Linked DNA regions of Kluyveromyces lactis. The protein of the gene in region 1 purifies or fractionates together with the protein of each later gene. This does not show direct contact. Links are inferred from orthologs where the notes say so. Each region holds a gene or a part of one and is shown on either strand. Other genes may lie near its edges.

Region 1 (10,747 bases):
CTGTAATGATATGTTCTCGATGCACATATTCAAAAAATGGACAGTTCAATTAATTGCAATGTGGTTCATGTTTGCATTATTTGGATATACTTTAATGATATTTACTTTATCCTCATACGCTGTTGCTAACGGCTTGACTGCTCATCAAGGTTCCTCGCTAACGGCAATCTTGAACGGTGCCCAAAGTGTAGGTAGACCCTTAATTGGATACACAGGGGATAAAATCGGTAGAACGAATATTACTGTTATGCTAACGTTACTTTTAACAATTTTCATGTTCGGTTTTTGGATCCCTGCTGACAGTTATTCATCTTTAATCGGGTTTTCAATATGTGTCGGTCTATGTATTGGTGTAGCTAATGTTATGAACACCGTGCTAGTTGCTGACATCGTTGGACCGGTAGATTTTTTGCCCGCTTGGGGTTATGTTAACTTGGTGGGCTCTCCATTCATGCTTGTTGCTGAAGTTATTGCACAAGCGTTGACTGAACCCAACTCCAACGACCCATATCTCCACACTCAAATATTTGCGGGATGTTGTTTCGTTGCGGCATTACTCCTTATATTGGGATTGCGGGAGGTGACAGCAAAGATAAAGATAAAAGAAAGACAAACGATAAATTTGCAACGGTTAAAGGATTATGATGATTCAAACTTATCAGAAAAAGACAATAACATCTTGAGAGAAAGAGAGATCAAGTATGATTACTTACTTGGATCAGGCATCAAAAGCTACTTTGCAAGAATGTTTTATCCAATGCATGTATAAAACTCTTTCCACAGAGTCATCTATTCTTTTCTTCCGTCTATAAAAGTAGCATTAGTGAAGTATCTTACTTAGTTTATTTATTTCAGTATTTTCATCCCACTTCAAATCCTTGATATAAGCATTGCATTCATTATCAAAATCCTTCCATTGATCAACCAACTTCTTTGAAATTACATTGAATCTCATTATCGGGTCATGCAAATTTTGGTTAGGATCTAAGTTCATCTGAATGCAAATCTCATGAATGACGTTATTTAGCTCAGAGTAATTTAGCACAAACTCATAACTCATATCCATCAATAAAACCAAAGTAGTTGGATACAGCTGATGAGTGTATGTTCCAAGCGAAGCACCTGAACCTGAATATAAAATTGGATGATTCAAAATATTTGATAAGAATACAGAATGAGCTCTTTTTAGATCCTCAAGATCAAATGAAGAATAGCCGCTAACATCATCTGTCGTAAGTTCTTTGAAGTTTTCGATAAAATGAAGATCAGGTTTTAAAACACCGCTTGAGACTTTTACCCCATTTCTAAGCACTTTAACTTTAACCGAGGAGGTTGGATCGGTATCTTTATGATTTAGATTCGAAAGAAGCTTCCTAAATTCATGTTCAATAATACTCTCGAAACAATATGTTTCAACTTTTTTAGTGAAAGATTGAATCTGATTCTTTAAAACATTGATCATTGAAACTTTATTCAGTAAATCCCTAATAAATGGAACCCTGATGTTCAGCTTTCTAAAAAGTTTAAGAATGGATGAATTTTTTTGCCATTCTTGTTCATAATTGTACTCATTCTTTTTAATTCTCCATAAGAAGTTGAAAATTCTCAGATAATCTCTGCGGCTTCCGTGTTGGTTGATATCCATTACTGTTGAAAGAGGCTGATCCACGAGATAGTCTAATGTGAAAACATCCCAACCCGAAGATCCATGTGCTAATTCCAAAATTCTAGCATCAAGCCTATTCACCAAGAGATTGTTATCTGATTTGTTCAATCTATTTCTCAGAGATGATTGTTGAATTGCGATTTGTAGACACTTCGTTAAATGATGGCTTTCTAAAAGTTGAGAAGGTTGGTTGAAGAGATTTTCCGAGTTTTGAATAATAGAATCAATCACATCGCTTTTACCCATTAGAAGGATATCTTTTAAAAGGTTGAGAGTCTCGAAATAATAAAATTTCGATCGTAATGTGGTGTTGATATAGTGGTTAATTTCACCATATTGCTGGTTAACCAATTCGAAAAATTTGTGATCCATTGAAGGGCCTAATAGCCTATATTGCAATGAATACTTATTTGCAAATTTTCCAATCCATTCAACTTCGCTGCAGCAATGTTCGAGATATCGGAGGGACTTTCCAATAATGTATATTTTTTTGGCCACTAAAGACGGTATAAATTTTGGAATTTTCTGTGGCAAGAATACCAATCCCAATGGTTCTTTCTCGTCATTTTGAACAAAAAAGTCACTACTAACATTTGAATCCAGTTTTCCATCAATCAACCAATCGCATATGTTCTTCATGTAGGGTTGTAAAAGACGCTCTAACGCATCAGATGCAAATTTCTCGAGTACTGGATCACCATTACTTTTTTGTAACTGGCATACAGATAGTAATCCCTCTGCACTGCTTTTTTCAAAGTTTTCAATATATTCCATATATGTCCTTAGTTTTAGTACTTCAGGATAGAGGTGTTGATATGTAAAACATAATGGATCGAGTGGATGTAAGTGGGATGAGAAATTGTTGACGAAATTACTATAATCTCGAAGTTTACTTTGAATCAATGTCAAAAATGCTACTTTTAGTGTACTGGTGGTAACATGTTTTTTAAGATATTCCACTCTAATTTGAAGGTGCAAGTAAAGTAAGCCTGCTTCAACGATATCATGCAACTGTTGGCTTTCTCCGTTCGGAATATTGCTGGGTATTGTGAACTTCTTGTCTTTTAGTTCGAATAAAGTAGAGGGTGTTCCCAACACAAGATAGGGTATACTTTTAACGATATCGGCCCTCGATACCATTGTGCTGAAATATGGATCTGATAAGCTTTGTAATGTAGCATCAGATGAACTATGTTGCCAAGCATTTCCCCCATAGGACCCAATTGACCTTCTGTCCGATACCTTCTCAAAATTCTCAAAAGAATCCGCATAGACGCTTTCCGTTGTTTTCCTTTGTATATTTTCTATCACTTCTTTCGACATTGGTTCTCTCATATCATACAACTCATCGTTTTTGTCTAAAAGTGACAAACATTGCAGTAAATATTTATGTTTTTCTTCCGGACTTGAGAGATGGCACATGATGCCGGCAAACATTTCTAAATGAGACCAACTTTTCATGTCCTGATTGCGTTGCACCATTATTTTTTTATAATATTCCAATACTTTTGTGACATTTTCCTTTGATGATGTTTTGATAGAGTAGTAAAGGTCCTGAATTAATTGCTGAGAATACGCACTGCCAGCAGATGCAGGAAGCATGTGTAGTACACATGTGCCAAATTTTTGGTCCATTATTGTTTTTTCCGTTACCCCACAGTAGAGATAGGGGAAGAGGCTCTTTTTCACATCTTTTACCTTTCACTTTAGCGCACAAATCGTTCTTGTTTGTTGATATTTTCACAAAACAATATCGATCTACTGTTGTTGTATCCAATGATGTAAACATAAAGTGAAAAAGGTTGTGAAATAGTCACGTGATTGACTTTGGTGACCATCACAAGGATTGAAGGAAAGACATATGCAGACATACATGTATACATAATATATATATCAATACAGTACATGTATAATACATTTGTTTAACTTATTATTATGCCATATTTTTTAATAAGGAGCAGAGAGTAGTTCAGCCTCCCTTGAAAAGAAAGAGTTAGAGAATTTGTCATCGTACCCGCAATGTTCCATAGTTCTTTTATAGTGATAGAAATTGTAGAATTGCAGCATGGCCCGTAAAGCAATTTCTTGGCCATAGGAATCGTTGATCTCGCCCGTGATATCCTTCCCTGTTATCCAGTTATCTGTTAAATGAAGTTTCTCATGTAAGAACACTCCAGAAATCAATTCCATATGATCTGCCCTCCATCTTTTATTCTTGAATGGTGCCAATTCGTGAATTATCTTTAATATGGGGTGGTATATGTCCAGATTAAAGATAGAATACAATGCCTTGAATATGTTACTAACATTAAGTGGTAGGTCTTTTAGCCTTTGTGTCTTTTTCCCAGTTATTTTGGATAACACTCGTAATAGATACACCTCGGAATTGAGCATTCGGAGATTTAATCTGTTTGCTTTCTCATTTGCGGTTGATATCTCAAGAGTTTCTTTATATTGAACATTGTATAAAGAACATTCACTCCAAAAAGAATGGGTAGGTTGTAAATGTTTAGAGTAAATTCTGTTTTGATATTGATCAGTAAAAGATTGAAGGATGCCTACGCTTGTCGTAATGAACTTTGAATCGTAAATCAACGAGCAAAGATACTCAAATTTAAGAAAGTGGCTAACCTTAAACCATTTTAAAAGGAGGAAAAGTATGGCAGAACTCGATTCCATTGCAATTTCCTTTGATCTTATAAGTTCCAATTGTGGTTGAAGCTCATTAATTTCTTCTTCAGAAAAATCCTCTTCAAGGTATACTTTGTTTGACATACAAGTTTCAATAGTTTCTAATAGAACATATACTAGAGATGAAAAATGGGGTAAAGCATTAGCATAATAATCTTCGATGCGATTCATGGTTTCAGGTTCCTCATTCTGTATACCTCTATACGTGAATGGGTCCTTCTCATGTACCTCAGTGTTTGTCCATCCTCGTTCTTGCACCATAAATAATTCTCTTTCATGCCATAGTTGTTTAGTAGATAGTTTTATATGCACAGATTTTGACAAAATTTCGATTGCTTCTTGCATGTTATACGGTAACACTGTCTCAGGCACCGCAATACTCAGCTTATTACTAAGTTCGTCTACCACACCAGTATCATAGTCACCAGAGGATGGAAAAAATGCTGGATATGATAAATTGGCTTGAAATGACTTCCTCGTTTTCAATCCGTTGGGCGAGCTTGTGGGTGATGCCGGCTGTGATGGTGCAGGCGTTGCCATATGCACTTGTGGCTCTCCCAACGACATGTTAGAACTGCTCCTCGAACGGGGTCTCGGAATCTCTAAAAATTGTGAAAGAGAATTGGGGTTGTCAAGCATGCTAGGATATGTCGGTTCTGGAAGCTGAGAAGATGGAAATCTTGAGGTGATATCTTCCCTAAAAGCAACATATTCCAATGGAGATATTGAAAGATTCGAAGCAGAGGAGTCTTTCTTTTCAATTTTGTGATGTTGAAGAACAAATCTCTTCACTGCGTCATAATGGCTCTCTTCACCAAACTGTAATAGAAGCACTTTATGGAATAAAATAATGATATTTCTTATTCTCATTGAGAGTCGACTTTTCCAACGCCAATGGTCTATATATTTTGTAAGGAAAAGCATCAAGCCAGATGAATGTACGACATCAATAAAATCTTCTACAGCTTTGGTGTGCATGCTTCTTTGCTCAATAGCTATATTGATCATAAAATAAGTGATTGAACCCGAGTAGAACAAAAGAGTATTATATTGTTGCAAATTAGTGTTCTTCACCCTACAACAATCTGCATGTTTCTTAAAGCAAGGTAAGAGTACCTTTGAAATCATCATCAATAGAGTATTATTCCTCCGTAGAATGTCTAAATGATGGAAATAACTGTTCGTTTCCTGAAAAGTTCCGAAAGAAATATACGCCAGACAAAGCAAGGTATTGATATCCACTGAATTTACCTCTAGCTTTTTACCAAGCTCTGTAATAACTTGAATAGCGTATTTACGCTCTTCGATAAATTTCGAACTATCATAGTTTTTTTCAAAGCTCAACTTTGCAGTCTTTAAGCTCCCATAGTCCTTTTGTATGAACCATTCTGATAGTTCGTGAAATAATGAATTAAAATCGGAAGCCTGCCAATCTAACGTAGGCTTGGTAAATGAATGTGAAAGATCACCTCTTTCAATCTCGTCTGCTTTTTCTTGTAACAACTTCTTTAATGCATCGTCTACTGGTAAATTATTATCTTCTTCAACTTTGACATCCTCATATGTAATTATTTTATCTTTGTCATTCAATTCGGGTGAAACCTTCCTTAGTTGCTTCGGTGATGCTTGTCCGTTAGTATATGAATCATAACCTTGGAAATAATCTTTCAGGCTACCAGAACTAGAACTGGGGGAGATTGGTCCATCGATCTCATCGACATTTGCAAACTCTGAATCCTCATCATCTTCTTCCCCATTAGCATCATCCTGAGTATCAATAATCTCACTGCTATTGTTCGCTTCATTAGATTGTCTATCTGTGCCGTTGTTTTCATGCTGCAATTCATTTGAATCACCCAAATGTAATTTCTTGCTAAGTAAACTATCCAGATCATGGAATAAAGACGTATCCGAAGGGAAAGTCTGGTGTTCATTGGAGAGCTGTTTTGCAAATGGCGGTCTAGCCTGAGTCTTGCTCCTCAAATCTTTAGAAGACAAAGACTTCAATAGCGGAGATCTTGACCGCTGTGTCTCTGGCATTATCGCAATCCACAAATAATATTGGATTCCTTTCTATCTCTCAAATTGAATAATCGTTAATTCAATGTTGAAAAGAAAACAGCTCTTCAAGCCGCTATCAATAGAAAACCACGGGAGTAGTTCAGGCAATACCTCGCAATGTATTTGAACCACAAAAGTAACGTTTTCTAAAAAGTTTAAGTGTATAGTTGCAAACGTTCTTATTCTAACATGTCTGATTGAATGCGATGCTACTTTTTTTTGGATTTTGAGTAACTATTCAAATGCCTGAAAAATGTGATACACACAAATTAAAACTGAAAATCTGTAAGAAACAAATCGAATTTGACTCGTGATGTTCAATCGTGGAAGAGTGACCAGCAAGCTTTTCTGGCCGAAGCCGCTAGTTTATATTTGATTGCAAACTAAATGAGCATTTCTCTGGAGAATATTCTTGGCCTCAAAGTTAAAATTACTGATGTTTTAGACCATGTAACGCAAGGAAAAGTGTATTCATTCAACTCAAATAATGACACCATCACTTTGATTGTGGGCAAGAAAAATAAAGCATACACATTTGAGATCATTCAGACCTCATTTATCAAGCATCTGGAACTAGTAGGAGAGAAGGCTAATCCGTCTAGTTTCAAGAAAGATCATGTAAAACCGTCATACGTTGATCTCGATAGAGTGAAAAATGCATTGGCTAAGACAATAGACACAGCTGCTAAAAAGGAAATGTCAATTGGAAAAAATGTTTCCTATGAGGGTCAATTTATATTTGATCTCATTCATAAGACTATATCAGATATAGTATGGAAGGGAAAATCCATTGTCGTTCTTGATGAGCTGGAAATAAATCCGCCGTATCAGCTTGGTAGCATTAAACCATTGCAAGGCAGAACTGATGTCAAATCAAAAGAGTTGATAGATAAGATTGTTGAATCTGCATGGAATAAATTAGAGAACGAAAGAAAAGGCGGATGATGCCGGATGTCAATGTAAAAATATATAGTTTATTTATTTACAGATTAAAATTTAACTTATTTCGTTCGGAATTAAAACTGGATAGAATACACATCGCCTTAGATGATGCCCACTAGGAGCAATCTCTAGCTTGTCCTTCGATTAACGTCACTCCGAATTTCAAAGTAACATCCACCGGATAGAAATTGAATCGAATAATTTAAGACCTTTCCCAGAGGTTCCTTTAAACCCATCAAGTTCCTCCCATGGAATATAAAACTCAAATCGTTCATTCTTAGGTAAAATGTAGTTGGAGTCATTATCAAGGTTCTTTGACTGAAGCACAGATTCCCAATAAAGATTTAACCAGCAACTTGAAAAAGAGCTTAGGTGAGAGACGTTGTTTATAAATTGCGAGGTCTTTGAACGGATTCCAAATGATAAACGGATATCTGAGAAAGTTACGTTGATATTTGGAACTATTATTTGCTTTGAAGTTAACGACCTTAATGATCCCTTGCCTGTAGAACACTGCTTGGAGAATAAATCGATAAGACCCGATTTTCCACTTGAGTGACTTTGTATCTTAATGGATACTGTTGTATTATTGGCCTTTTTCAAGAATTCCGAGCTATATTGACCAATTGAATTTGTAAACTCGATTGACAAAATCTTGAATTCGATGGTAGAAAGGTTCTTTATTATTTCTTCTCGTTGTTTAGCTTCGTATCGGAGAAACATTTCTTGGTACTTGAGATAACGTAGTTGAGAAGCTATGGTAACTCCTTTACTGATGCCTGTCTTAAACCTAGTGCTCAGAAAAAGAGATTGTGCTTCATGACGGGGGAGCTGCAAGTATGTCATCAAATATGCGACTACCAGAGTGCCCGATCTCCCTTTGCCCATTTTACAGTGAATAACAGCTACTTTCCCCCTTGAGACAGTATCTCTTATATCGTCTATTAAGTTCTGAAGATGCAAAAAAGATGGTGGTGAATGATCAATCCATCCAGCTCTCAACAAGTGAGATTTCACAGAAATTGGTGGTTTTACTATTTCATCTGCATTAGATCTGAATAGTAATTTGATTCCGGAAACATTGCAATGGTCTTCGAGCATTTTTCTGGATCTAAAAGTGGAAGTAATTTTTTCACTCTTACCAGCTGGTGGGGTCACATGTTTTGATTCCAATACCATGGCAAAATCGTCATCAGTGTAGTCTGAATCATTCATTTCCGCCTTCAAATTGTAGATTTTCCAGTTCTTTCTGCCATGATTCGCATCCAAATACGTGACAAGATCAACGAGACTGTTGCGATAAAACATTTTGGGATACTTCATTACAGGATATGAGCAAACAATGATGTTGTCAGTAACATACGAAACATCCAAAACTAATCCCATATTATTCTTATATTGATTGAAAGGGGAGCTGTAGATTGATTTGATGATGTGCTCCGGATTAAATTTCGATAAAGTCATTTTGAATACTTTCAGTACAATTATACTTGGTGAAGATCTTAGTAACGTCAAAGCGATTGTCCAAAATTTGGCCGACTTTGAATTTATAGATGTAGACCAGTCTATTTAATACTGGTGGTGGGGAAGTTGTAAATGAGTTTGAATTGCTAGTTTTCTTAAATGCAACATTTGTGTCACTTCAGAAAGTACTTGACAACAGTGCGACAAAAAAAAAATAAGAAAAAAAAAAAACAGGAAAGACAAGTATCAGGTAGAATAGTTATATTATTCCAGTAATGAACTCGCATTTAATGTTTCAACGATGTGATCAGCAATTGCGTTTAGCGCATCTGATATGTTGATATCATCATCATTTTTCAGTTCGAAGAGCCCTGTATTCCGTTTAAGCTGTCCTTCAATGTCTTCATCTTCGAACATATACTTATGTTCGTTCCTGTAAGATTTGTAAACAAATTCATCAAAGTAGTATGGTGGATCAACCCAATATGAATCTATAGTCTTGTATCCAGCTCTTGCATTTCTTCTCTTTTTCAAAACTTCGTATGGAGCTCGAACAAATATTTTGATGTCAAACTTCTTTGTTAGCTCTTCATCGTTAAATATCATGAACCCATCAACCAATACAATCTTAAGATCAGAATTTTGCACGATAGCATATTTCCTCTTAAGAGAATCCCAATCTTCTGGTGATATATCAAACTTTGTTATGTCATCAACGTTATCGTTATGAATCAATTTACTTTTGATTAAGCCAGTTTCTTTTATTTGATCCAACTCTCTTTTAAATGCAGGTATATCCAATGCCTCTGGACAGTCCCAGTCGGCAATCTGATATTTTTCGTTTAGTGGAATTTGCGCATCAGGCTTATAGAAGTCATCTTCGTGTAATACACTACTTCTAGGGATTGCATTCGATGTTAGCTTGGTTAAGGTGGTCTTACCCGATGATGAACATCCACTTATCGCGATGAGAACCAATTTAGAGCTAGTCATTCTTTTCTCCTAAAATAGTGGGTTTAAGTTGATACCGCTTACTTCGTACGATGTAGGGAATAAGGAAGTAAATATGTCCCAAGGAGCTACCTCAATTTTCCCTACAAATAGCTTATGTGACGCTTTTCATTGTCTTGTTTGGAAGATATGTTGGATCTTTCTTATCTATTGTCCTGGCTTTCAATTTTTCATGCGAAACCATTTTTGAATTTTGTCAATAAATTTTGAGAAAGTTAACAATCCTGCAAGACTTTATATGATAAATTCGCAGAAACTTGGTACATGAGAAGGCAATATAGGTTATTTTGCCCTACTTAACAGCTTTGTGGAACCCTCCAACTGAATCGATATCTGAAGCATCTTTTCATTTACTCACAATGTCGGAATTTATTAATGAGAACCCTGATATTTTAGATGAGACCCTCCTACCGTCCAGAAAAGAAGATATTACAAATGAACTATTTGGTGATGCCTTAGGGAAAATCACACATGAAAGAAAAAGGCAGTTGCTGCAGATAGGATCTGTAGACTCGCCAGTTTTGAAAAACATAGGTCTTCTAGATAAACTATTAAACCAGCAGCTATCTTTGGATGAGACCGTACCTGATTTGACAGATATAGAAACAGCAACTGAATCCGATGAAAACACTGAGGAAGAAGAAGAGGAAGATCCTATCGATGCTCAAGAAATCTACGATCTTATAGCTCATATCAGTGACCCAGAACATCCACTAACGCTAGGACAATTAGCGGTGGTGAACTTGGCTGATATCGAAGTACATGATACGAACGGCAAGGATAAAATGGCCGAAGTTATCGTTAGAATCACTCCAACAATTACACATTGCTCTCTCGCAACCCTTATTGGGCTTGGTATTAGAGTGCGGTTAGAACGTAGTCTCTCGCCCAGATTTAGAATCACTATCCTAC
Region 2 (10,421 bases), on another chromosome or scaffold:
TTATAAGTTGAAAGGTAGCTTTGTTCTGTTTAGCGTTTTGAAGTCTTTCTTTTGGACTGAACTGAACACGTACTGAAGAAAAGGTGAAATTATCTGGCAATAAAAAATGGGCAAAATAAGAAACTCGTATCAAATGATTCAATAAGGACAATGGTTCCACTTGACTCAAAGTCAGATATTCCAGTACCATACGTCCTATCTATGTTCGTGTATACATTAAATTATGAAGGGAATTGGTAGTATTTAGGCACTTCTAAGTCTTTTAGATTTTACCGTCGCTATTATAGTAATTGTGAGAGCCACTACTAGTGCAATAGTGGAGGCGGTAAATGCAGGCACAATGCAGTTGGGAGAAGAAGTGACAGGGTCGGCTGTGGCGGCTGGAATGACCGATTTGCAATTGGAATCGTGTACTTGAGCATACATGACGCCAAAAAATGAAGATCCAAATGCAGGTCCCAACATGAACGTACCGTAAGCGGTACCAAAGACCTCATCTCCCCAGAGATTAAGAGTTAATGCTGGGAATATGGTGAAAAGCCCACCGTATGTGAAACCCGAGATTGCACTTGCAATTGCGATGTAAGATATGTTCACCACGTTCATCGCATGAATAATGATTACCTGAGCAAGGATTGCAGATAAGAGCATCAATATAATGAGAGGAATCCTTGGCCAGTTCCATTTGGTGAACAGATCAATAAATAAACCAGACAATAGTCGTGAACTTGTAGAGAAAAGGGCAAACTGCGTCAAAACGTTGAAAGAGGATCCAGGCCCAAGTATCAAGCTTGTCAGGTTTACCATGTTTGTGTTGAACATTTCCATGACCCCCATACTGAGGAGCATTACTATCAGGAATGCGTATGCAATATAATCTTGGAAAAAGTTTCTGATCCTCTTATAAAACTCGCCTTTATTTCCACTAGCAAGTAATAGCGTGGTTTCATCTTCAAGTACAATAGCATCCGCTCTTGCTGATGCATGCGATGCTGATGGAGATTGAGAACCACGAAGCTTAATGATAGAAATCGTACTAGTGGAAATCCATGTCAACAAAAATACAAACGTGTAGAAGACAGCGAACGATTTAAAGACAACAGCAAGATCTAGGTAACCGTCCTCTTTAGAATGGAACCATGGTAATTTAATTACCTGCAACCCAATTACGGAGGATAATCCAAAACATGTCGTGGGGAAACTGATTGACAATAGTTTTGTATCGGGGTACAGCTTTGCACAAGTAATTAAAGCGCAAAAGTACAGCGAACTGGTAGCGATTCCAACAATTGCAAATGCCACTACGGAGAGGGCAAAACATGGATCGGATCCCAACTGGAAAACACAAGATAGGTATAAATAGCTGGGAACGAAACCAATGAAGGAAAGCCAACTTAATATCACAGGGCCGTGAGAATCGGATAATATACCTAATAATGGAGGAGTCAAATAAGCTCCTAAATTCCCTGCAGCATAAAGTAAATTAACGTCAAGTGAAGAGTATCCTAACCTTAATTCCCACGGTACTGCATATACCGAAATCATAGAAAAAAGCCCAGCAGAAATGGATGAGAATAAAGATATAATGAATGTTGAATTATGAATGGTGGACCATTCGAATGAATTTGAAAGCCATGTTCGAATATGATAGGTGAGCCAATGCTCGATATTTGATAATCTCATATGAACGGAATTTTTCTAGCCCTGACGCCCTTGCTTGTGTTTTTTGGCATGCAAAGATGGGTTACCAGGTGGATTCCGAGACCTTTTCATTATCAAGTAGATCAAAAATTACGTGTATTACATCGTCCTATAAGTGTTCTAGCTTTCTTTTTTAACTTTTTGAAATTTTGGTAGAGAAAACCGTCATTACCAGTAAAAGTTGTGAATGAAGTGTGTTTTTATATACATATACACTGTAAGGACGTTCACATGTAGATGAGGGAAGGAGCTTTTTACTGCCATGCAAAATTTATCTTAGAACGCGCTCAAGTTCGGACAAACACCCATATTTTTTTGATTTCCATGTTTTCGACTGAGAAGTATTCCAATCTGTAGAATCATCCGTAGTCAGGGTCACAGATGACCTAGAGTACTGTTCGAATTGTGATATCAGGAACTGTTTCACTTCATCGTGGTTGAACGGTGGTTTAGAATGAACATATGATGCTTGGTTCGTTTGGGAATTCTGCCCATTGCTGTTGTTATTTTTTTTCTTGTTACTGCGTGAGTCCTGCGAAGAGATACTACTTCTACTGGTATTTTCACTTGTTACTGGAGTAGGAATGGCTGAAGCAGAAGTGGGAGAAGCGGTCGTATATGCCATACTTTTTTTTTTCAACGCAGAGCTTTCACTTCCCCAAGCACCAAGTTTCTTACTTTGCCAAGCATTAGCCATTGTTAAGCAGTGTATAGGAAAACCGGATGGATAATTCTATTTATTCCCAACGGAAAAGTACGTTACCAGACGGCGAAAGAGAGATCCTATGGAAATACAATCGTGTACACAAGGAACGATTTGATGGAGCTTACTTCCGCTCTACCTTGACGATTGTTACAACTGATCAAAGGAATATGCCGAAATCGCTTCTTCATGTTAGATTTTCTTATTGCAGTAGACCAGAACACGTGACCCGAATTTTTGGACGGATCTCAGTTACTTTTCACGAGATATCCGGGTAATATCACGGTATTTAAATCTACTTGTCAAACACCCATCAACCACACATACATAAATTCTCCCGGTCGCCCCTCTGGTTCCCCCCCACTACCGATACAGCACTGGCAGAAATTGGAAAACCAAAGACGAAAACATGTTCCCGGAGCTCCAATGAACCCACACATCACGATATATGACCCCAGATTCATTTAATTTGAAGATCAATAAAACCTTTTTTTTTATTTTCCCTCTCAGTGTTATGAGCAAAATCACCTTAAATCGCTACAGAAAACACATAATCAAATAGTACTTGCAAATCATGTTCTGTTTCAAGTGACTAGGAAATGCCTTAGCACACTACGTGCCATACTGCGTCCATAGCGAGCTTTTCTCATTCTGTTTTTCTTTTGTTTCCTTCGCGCCAGAAATGGTGCGGTTCTTGCGATTTTTCAAAGCTAGAAGAAATTCAGAGACCAGATAATCGATATCAGACAGAGTAATGAACTGGCTTCGTTGGTTTCTTCGGGGGTAGAATTTTCCGAATTAATCCGTTGCGTTGTCCGCTACTTGCGTATGGATGTAAGTCGTGTATATTGTCTGTTTGATCCTTATTTTAGTGTATATAAATTGGATTCAAACCAGTTTTATGATTTCGATCCTCTTCAGCACTTTATGACTTATTATTGGATTCGAGCATTAGTTTCAAATTAAAGGCATAATCAAGTAGAAAGAAGACTATTCAATTCATTTCCCTTCCGAAGCTTCGCATATCCCGATTAAATAATTAATAAATGGCTGGTATTAAACACAGAAGAGACTCAGCTGAGTCTATCAATACCGACATCATCACGTTGTCCCGTTTTATCTTGGACCAACAGCATCTTTCTGCGAAAAATGCCACTGGGGAGTTTTCTATGCTTTTGAACTCTTTGCAGTTTGCATTTAAATTTATTTCTCAAACAATTAGACGTGCTGAATTGGTTAACTTGATCGGATTGGCTGGTGCTTCAAATAGTACCGGTGACCAGCAAAAGAAGTTGGATGTGTTGGGTGATGAAATCTTCATCAATGCTATGAAAGCGTCTGGTAACGTCAAGGTACTTGTGTCTGAAGAACAAGAAGATTTGATCGTTTTCCGTAACAGCCCTGGTAAATACGCGGTATGTTGTGACCCAATTGATGGTTCGTCTAACTTGGATGCTGGTGTCTCAGTGGGTACCATTGTCTCTCTGTTCAAGATTCATGAGAATCAGAATGGTAACTCTGGGGAAGAAGATAGTGAGGGTACCATCAACGATGTTGCTCGTTGCGGTAGAGAAATGGTTGCTGCTTGTTACACTATGTACGGTGCGTCCACGCATTTGGTTTTAACTACCGGTGCAGGTGTCAATGGGTTCACTTTGGACAATAACTTGGGTGAATTTATCTTGACTTACCCAGAATTGAGACTACCTGAGCAAAAATCTATTTACTCCATCAATGAGGGGAACACCTGCTATTGGGAACCAACTATCGCTGATTTCATTGCCAAGTTGAAGGAAAACAGCGAAGAAAATAACGGTAAGCCTTACTCTGCTCGTTACATCGGTTCAATGGTCGCTGACGTACACAGAACTTTACTATATGGTGGTTTATTCTCTTACCCAGGTGATAAGAAAAATCCTAACGGGAAGTTAAGATTGTTATATGAAGCATTCCCAATGGCTTTCCTTGTTGAACAAGCTGGTGGTAAAGCCGTTAATGATAGAGGTGAACGTATCTTGGATTTGGTCCCTCAACATATTCACGACAAAAGCAGTATCTGGTTAGGTAGCTCTGGAGACGTTGATAAATATTTAAAGCATATCGGTAAGTTGTAAATACGTATACGAACCTCCCATCAACAGAAGAAAATTAAGTAACATAATAATTCATGAAATACCACATTAAAAATAAATTAATAACCGACCTTGAATAACTATTTCACGATTCCAGTATTTACATTTATCATACATTCTCTTGTATTATAGAAAGTACTGTTAAATATAAAAAGTAAGAATCTCTTATTTATATTCTCTAAATAACTTCTTTGAGTAAACTACTACGTTCAGTGGGTTCTGGATTGGTCACAACAGTCCCATTAGAGTGAATAGAAGAACGGTCCAGGTCAACTATTTCCTCTTCGTAATCATCTGCAGTCAAACGATGCTGATCTTCAAAACGTCTGGCAGAGTTATACGCGATCACATCTGCAGGTAAAACGGTATCCACGATGGCTTCGGAGTATCCAATATTTTTCAGCTCGTCGTTCATCAACTTGTGAACACGGTTACATAGATCACCTACGTCTTCTTTCTTCAAATTTTCCGTGCTAATTGGCTCAAGAACCTTGACTGTTATGGTACCCCTGTTAAAGACTCCAGACCTGGGGTGATAGATGGAACTAGTGTTTGATACAACAACAGGGATTATCTGTATTTTCCCCTGTTGCGCCAAATGGAAAGCACCTTTCTTAAATGCTGATAGTTCTAGCTTTGTAGAATAAGATCTAGTTCCCTCAGGGAAAATCCAGAGGGCCCTTTTATCCTTCTTTAGGTTGGCCAAAGAGTCATTTAAGACCTTGATGGCCTTTTCTCTGCTAGATCTATCCAAGAACAAAGTACCGCTAAGACTCATAAACCAACCCAGTAAGGGAACCCACTTTATCTGTTTCTTAGCAGTAACTGTGCATCCAGGTGGGAAAGTTCTACCCAGCATTAGGATATCCAATTCAGATTGATGGTTCGAGATAAAAATAGCTGGCAAATCGTTCAATCTTTCACCATTGATCAAATTAATCTTAATACCCATGATGAAACCCATCACTCCATAGAAACAGCGAGCAGTACTCCATTGCGCCAAATGCTTTTTACCAATTAATGAAAATACAATCGATGCAAGCACACCATACAATGCACACGATGATAAAAGTGTAACTGCAATGACAGACTTCCCCCAGAAAACTATTTTGCTGAAAAAACCCATAGCTGAATTAAATGGATTTTGTTTAATGTTTCCCACTGCTCACACAGTAATAGAATCAACAAATAACTGAGTGTACTATTGGTACCTTATGCAATGATTTTTCGACTGTTTTTTGTTGGTATTATTATTCGAGAAACTATTTCAATCTTGTGAGATTTTTTAAAAAAAAGAACGAGAACGAGATGAAACTCAACATTGTAACAACAGTTGGAACGAACATACCCAGAAAGTTTCGTGATAGCGGAATCGGCAGCAATCAATTATCTGTTAAAACCAGACAGATCCAGTTAGAACTGTGAATTTGCAAACTAAATAATCCTGGATATGATCCATGTATTTAGTGAAATCATCACCATCAAATAAAGGAACAGAGCACCTGGATAACAATTGAGGGCATTTGAAATCTGTGTTCAAGTAGCAAACGACGTAGCGAAAATTAAATGAACGTTGTGTCAAGGTGCAAAGTGTACTCTTTGGACCAATTTACAAGTCCATACCAGTATACATGCGAAGTCAACGGTAAGAAATGTACCAGGATTCACGTCGTACAGGAATCTCTGCGAGGAAACGGTAAAACAAGAACCATAGTGAACACAGTGCGCGAACAATGTGAGGGGAACGGACTAATCTTGAACATTTCTTCGATGCCCCGGAACGACCACAACGACAATGACTTGCTCGAAACATACCCGGAATTCCAACAGACTAATCTTTCCATGCTTCAGTTCGATTCCTTTATTCAATTTATGTCTCAATTATGTACAGATCCCGTGACCGCATTGTCTAGATGCCAACCGCAGAATTCGGAAACGTCTACATCGAAGCAGTTGGCATGGGTCCTCATTGATAATTTGTCGCACTTATCCATGGACCCCAAATTCGACGCCAAGTTGCTCAACAGATCAATTAGACTCGTACAACAGACTTTCGGTTCTGTCGTTATCTCTACAAGTTTGCCCTTATCGTTCCATGGTGGTATAGAAAGCACGTTTAAACATCAATCAACAAAATGTGCAAGTGGTGACCGTCTGTTACCCTATTTCAATGAATCCGACATTATCCTATAAGCTCTACAAAACGCTGTGCTAGAAACCGTGTTGCCCTACTATGTGATCTTCTCATCTCTGCATGGCAAAAGGACATGGTTCTGTCTACACCAAACAATTTTTTTTTTTTTTCATGCATTTTTGAACATGGAAAAACGTTAAAGAATTACGAAATGACATTCCAATTGAAGTTATGATACAGGTTCTAATCGATACTGTTAACATCCTTGTCTTTGTGCATTGTAGCTTCCATTTCCTTTCAGAACTGGGTTAAAGTTTAAGGCTTTTTCCCTATTGTTTGTGGTCATTTATCTAGCTGTCTATTGGATTGTTTGGATCATAGCCGTAAAGAATCGAATCGCACTTCTCATAACAAGTTATACTGGAAACAATGTCATTTTCCCAAGAGATCCGTCGTCGTGGGTCTTATGCCCCAATCGATTTCACTCCTGAGGTGTCTCAGGCTTGCCGCAAACAAGTGGAATTCTACTTCAGTGAATATAATTTGCCCTACGATAAATTTTTACGCTCTCTATGCGAACAGAATGACGGATGGATTCCAATTACGACACTTGCGTCTTTCAACAGAATGAAAAAGTATAGACCTGTCGACAAAGTTGTTGATTGTTTAAAGGACTCGACGATTCTAGAGGTTAGCGCTGATGGTGAAAATGTGCGTAGAAAGAGTCCATTAGAGACAGTTGATTTTAAGGACAGGAACGAAAGAGTGTTAGTGTTTATGAACTTTAAGAAGATCGAAAATGAAGATAAAGATAAATTCCTAGAATTACAAGAAGAACTAGAGAAGTTCTTCAATGGGTTCACCACTGTTAACCAAGTTCGTTTGAAGAAGGACCATAAGAAATACTTCAACGGTGTTGTCGAAGTCGAATTCAAGACGAAGGAGGAATGTGTCAAATTCTTTGAGGAACACAAGACCGATTTCTCATATCAGGGACAACCATTGGAAGTTGTCACTAAGAAGCAATACAGCCTCGCCAAGAATGCAACTAGATCAAAGAATTTCGGTGGTTCTGGTCAAAAGACAAGATCATTAACTGGTTACAGGAAGAACATCCCAAAGACTAATGACGAAACTCCTGAAGCCAGTTCTGAATCAAAGCTCAGTGAAGGAGATGCCAATGCTCCAACTGAGAAGAAATCGGAAGAAAGTGCCACAGAAACTGCTTAAGGCAGTCCGGGCTATTCTCATATTGTTATTCTAAAGCTCTTTTTTCCGGTGTCAATCGAACTCTTTGCCAGTAAATTGTAAGAGGATGGATACCAATGGAATCTCCAAGAAAAGAGGTTTAACGAAATAATAAATACACACACTTATATATGATAAATAATGACATATATTAAGTTTTTAAGAAGAAAAATATAAAGTTTACCCATAAATGTTTTTTGTTTAAAGACTAGAATGGAAATTGTCACTTGTATCGATTCTTATCATTCAAATAGCTCTCTTCACATTCAATTTCCTAACACTCATAGTCTGTCTGTCTTTAGGATCGTACCATCCACCATTCTCGGTGGGGAATGGTGCAGGGGTTGCATAGTTGTAATCTGAAGGTCTTGTGTATGACCAACCTGGGGTGATGGTGGTTTTTTGCTGCAAAGAATTGATCAGCGAAGGGAAGTAAGACACCGCACTTGTCGCGTATCTTCTTGACCAAGTCTCCAAAGTTACAGTAGAACCCGGTTGTTGTTGCATTGGAGCAAATCTGGAAATACCCGTTTGTTTGGTATATGGAATAGTGAAAGATCTTGTATCTACTGAAGCCGCATCAAGAGATATCTGCTTTGGAGGACCATCAGTGTCAGTCACAGATTCTGCACTGACACTCAAGGTACCGTCCATACCTGACAATTTCATACGACCACTGTAATGAATCGTGTATCCTTCCTTATACGCGGCGTAGATCTGAATGAAATATGTCCCGTCTGGGGCCGTGGTGGCTGGGAAACTGGCTTGGTACTTGTAATCACTCACCTCGGAAGGCTTGAATGGACCCAAAGTGTCAACAGGTACGATATTAGAATCCGAACCAGTACATAAGACGAATTTGTACTCGATGATCTCATCTAACAGTGGGGTCGTCTCGTCGTCAGTCCATTGGATTTCAATTTCGACTTCACCACCAGAAGCAGCGTAAGAAGAACCTGGTTTTGGAACCGTGACAGAAACATCAGCTAGAACTTTACAGACGTACAACAGCAGTAATACCAGTAGTCTCATTCTATGTATATTGTTTATTTTTCAAATGCTGATTTGAATCTCTGGACCCTAAATGATTCAATGATAATGCCACACACACGCTTACTACTCGTCAGTTACCGTTATGTTGTAGTAGTATGAAGAAACACTTTCTATGCCACGTAGTTCAATACTGGCCACAGGTCTTTACGGTCTTTTATACCTTCTTGATCTGAGAAACTTGTTCGCCGTGAAAGTCCCAAATATATATAATTGAAATGTGATTTGAGTTCTAGAAACAATTTCTTAAAAAAATCGATGTCTGGCCATGGGAACTTAGCAAAGAGACATAGGAAATGGAGCAAAAAAAACATAACAAGCAATATTAGCACTTCCAAGACATGTTACATGATAAATGTGAAGTAACTTTCGTCCAGAATGGTCTCAATCATGCCGTATTGCATAGACGTTGTTCACCGGTTTCCTACATATGGTTGCTTCGCAACAATTACATAAGTCACATGATCTATTATTCGTAAAAACAGACAGGTTCAACATAGAGAAACATCAACTCCTGTGTCCGCAAAATGACTATCACCAGGAGAGGCCACTCAGCGTCATAATACTGCTAAAATCTTCCTCTTGTACTCGGTCAACCCCATGTTTTTCCTTGCGTTAGTTCGTTATCAATTATGGTGACCTGCGAATTGTCTCGAGATTCGAAAAATGTCAAAATCAGAGAGTTGGCAGCATCTACATATTTAAGCAACCATGTCCTTGATATTTTGGGCTCTTCAATTTAAGATCGTGAGGTACACAGAAGTGAATCACTTTTGTGGGTACCGCTACAGAACTGTTAACTACAGAGCTGGTAAAGTGCAGAAGATTAAGATTGGTCAAACTTTCACATTGGTGGCAGTAATAATTAATTAAAGATGACTCCTGCTTCCAAGTACCAATTGGCTTCAATATTTATTGGTGCAAATGTGGTAGCTTTGGGGTCTGGTACACCGTATATGTACAGTTTCTATGCACCACAGTTGCTCAAAAAATGCCATCTTGACATTGAAAGATCTAGTGATTTCTCCTTTGCCATGTCTTTAGGGATGAGTGCGATGGGTGTTTTCGCAGGAATGATAATAGACCATTCGCCCAGTTTGGCCACCGGAATTGGGGCCTTTCTTACATTTTTTGCATATTCTACTCTTTACTTTTGTTACACTTATGAATATAGCAGCGTTTTTTTGATCTTCGTAGCTTTGGTGATGATTGGGTTTGGTTCCATTTGCTCTTTTTATGCAGCTATGAAATGTTGTACTGCAAATTTTCCTAACCATAGAGGTGCTGCAGGAGCGTTCCCCATATCTCAGTATGCACTGTCAGGATTAGTCTTTTCGCTTCTGTGTTCGAGTTTGTTTAAAGACGATATACAATCCGTGTTTTTGTTCTTGATTATTGTTTGTACTTCTACTGCACTTATTGGTTGTATGACCTTCAGAATCATCGAGGAAGA

The links.
Region 2: the proteins of LSM12 (region 1) and PBP4 purify together in Saccharomyces cerevisiae (affinity purification with mass spectrometry; 4 studies listed by BioGRID). This does not show direct contact. The link is inferred for Kluyveromyces lactis from reciprocal best matches to the Saccharomyces cerevisiae genes LSM12 and PBP4.

The regions. Positions count from the first base shown.
Region 1 is NC_006042.1:2,258,197-2,268,943, forward strand, and holds LSM12 (Lsm12p), read left to right. Parts: upstream 1-6,805; coding exon 6,806-7,363; downstream 7,364-10,747. Other genes in the region: ESBP6 (Esbp6p), read left to right, coding at 1-769; SPC98 (Spc98p), read right to left, coding at 821-3,301; FAR11 (Far11p), read right to left, coding at 3,614-6,397; TEP1 (putative phosphatidylinositol-3,4,5-trisphosphate 3-phosphatase), read right to left, coding at 7,523-8,824; NRK1 (ribosylnicotinamide kinase), read right to left, coding at 9,089-9,817; iron-sulfur cluster assembly protein CIA2, read left to right, coding at 10,195-10,747.
Region 2 is NC_006041.1:122,830-133,250, forward strand, and holds PBP4 (Pbp4p), read right to left. Parts: upstream 2,399-10,421; coding exon 1,973-2,398; downstream 1-1,972. Other genes in the region: MCH1 (Mch1p), read right to left, coding at 244-1,683; FBP1 (fructose 1,6-bisphosphate 1-phosphatase), read left to right, coding at 3,451-4,518; 1-acylglycerol-3-phosphate O-acyltransferase SLC1, read right to left, coding at 4,715-5,662; PSY3 (Psy3p), read left to right, coding at 6,103-6,729; tRNA maturation protein LHP1, read left to right, coding at 7,100-7,900; KNH1 (Knh1p), read right to left, coding at 8,165-8,950; KLLA0_E01321g (uncharacterized protein), read left to right, coding at 9,844-10,421.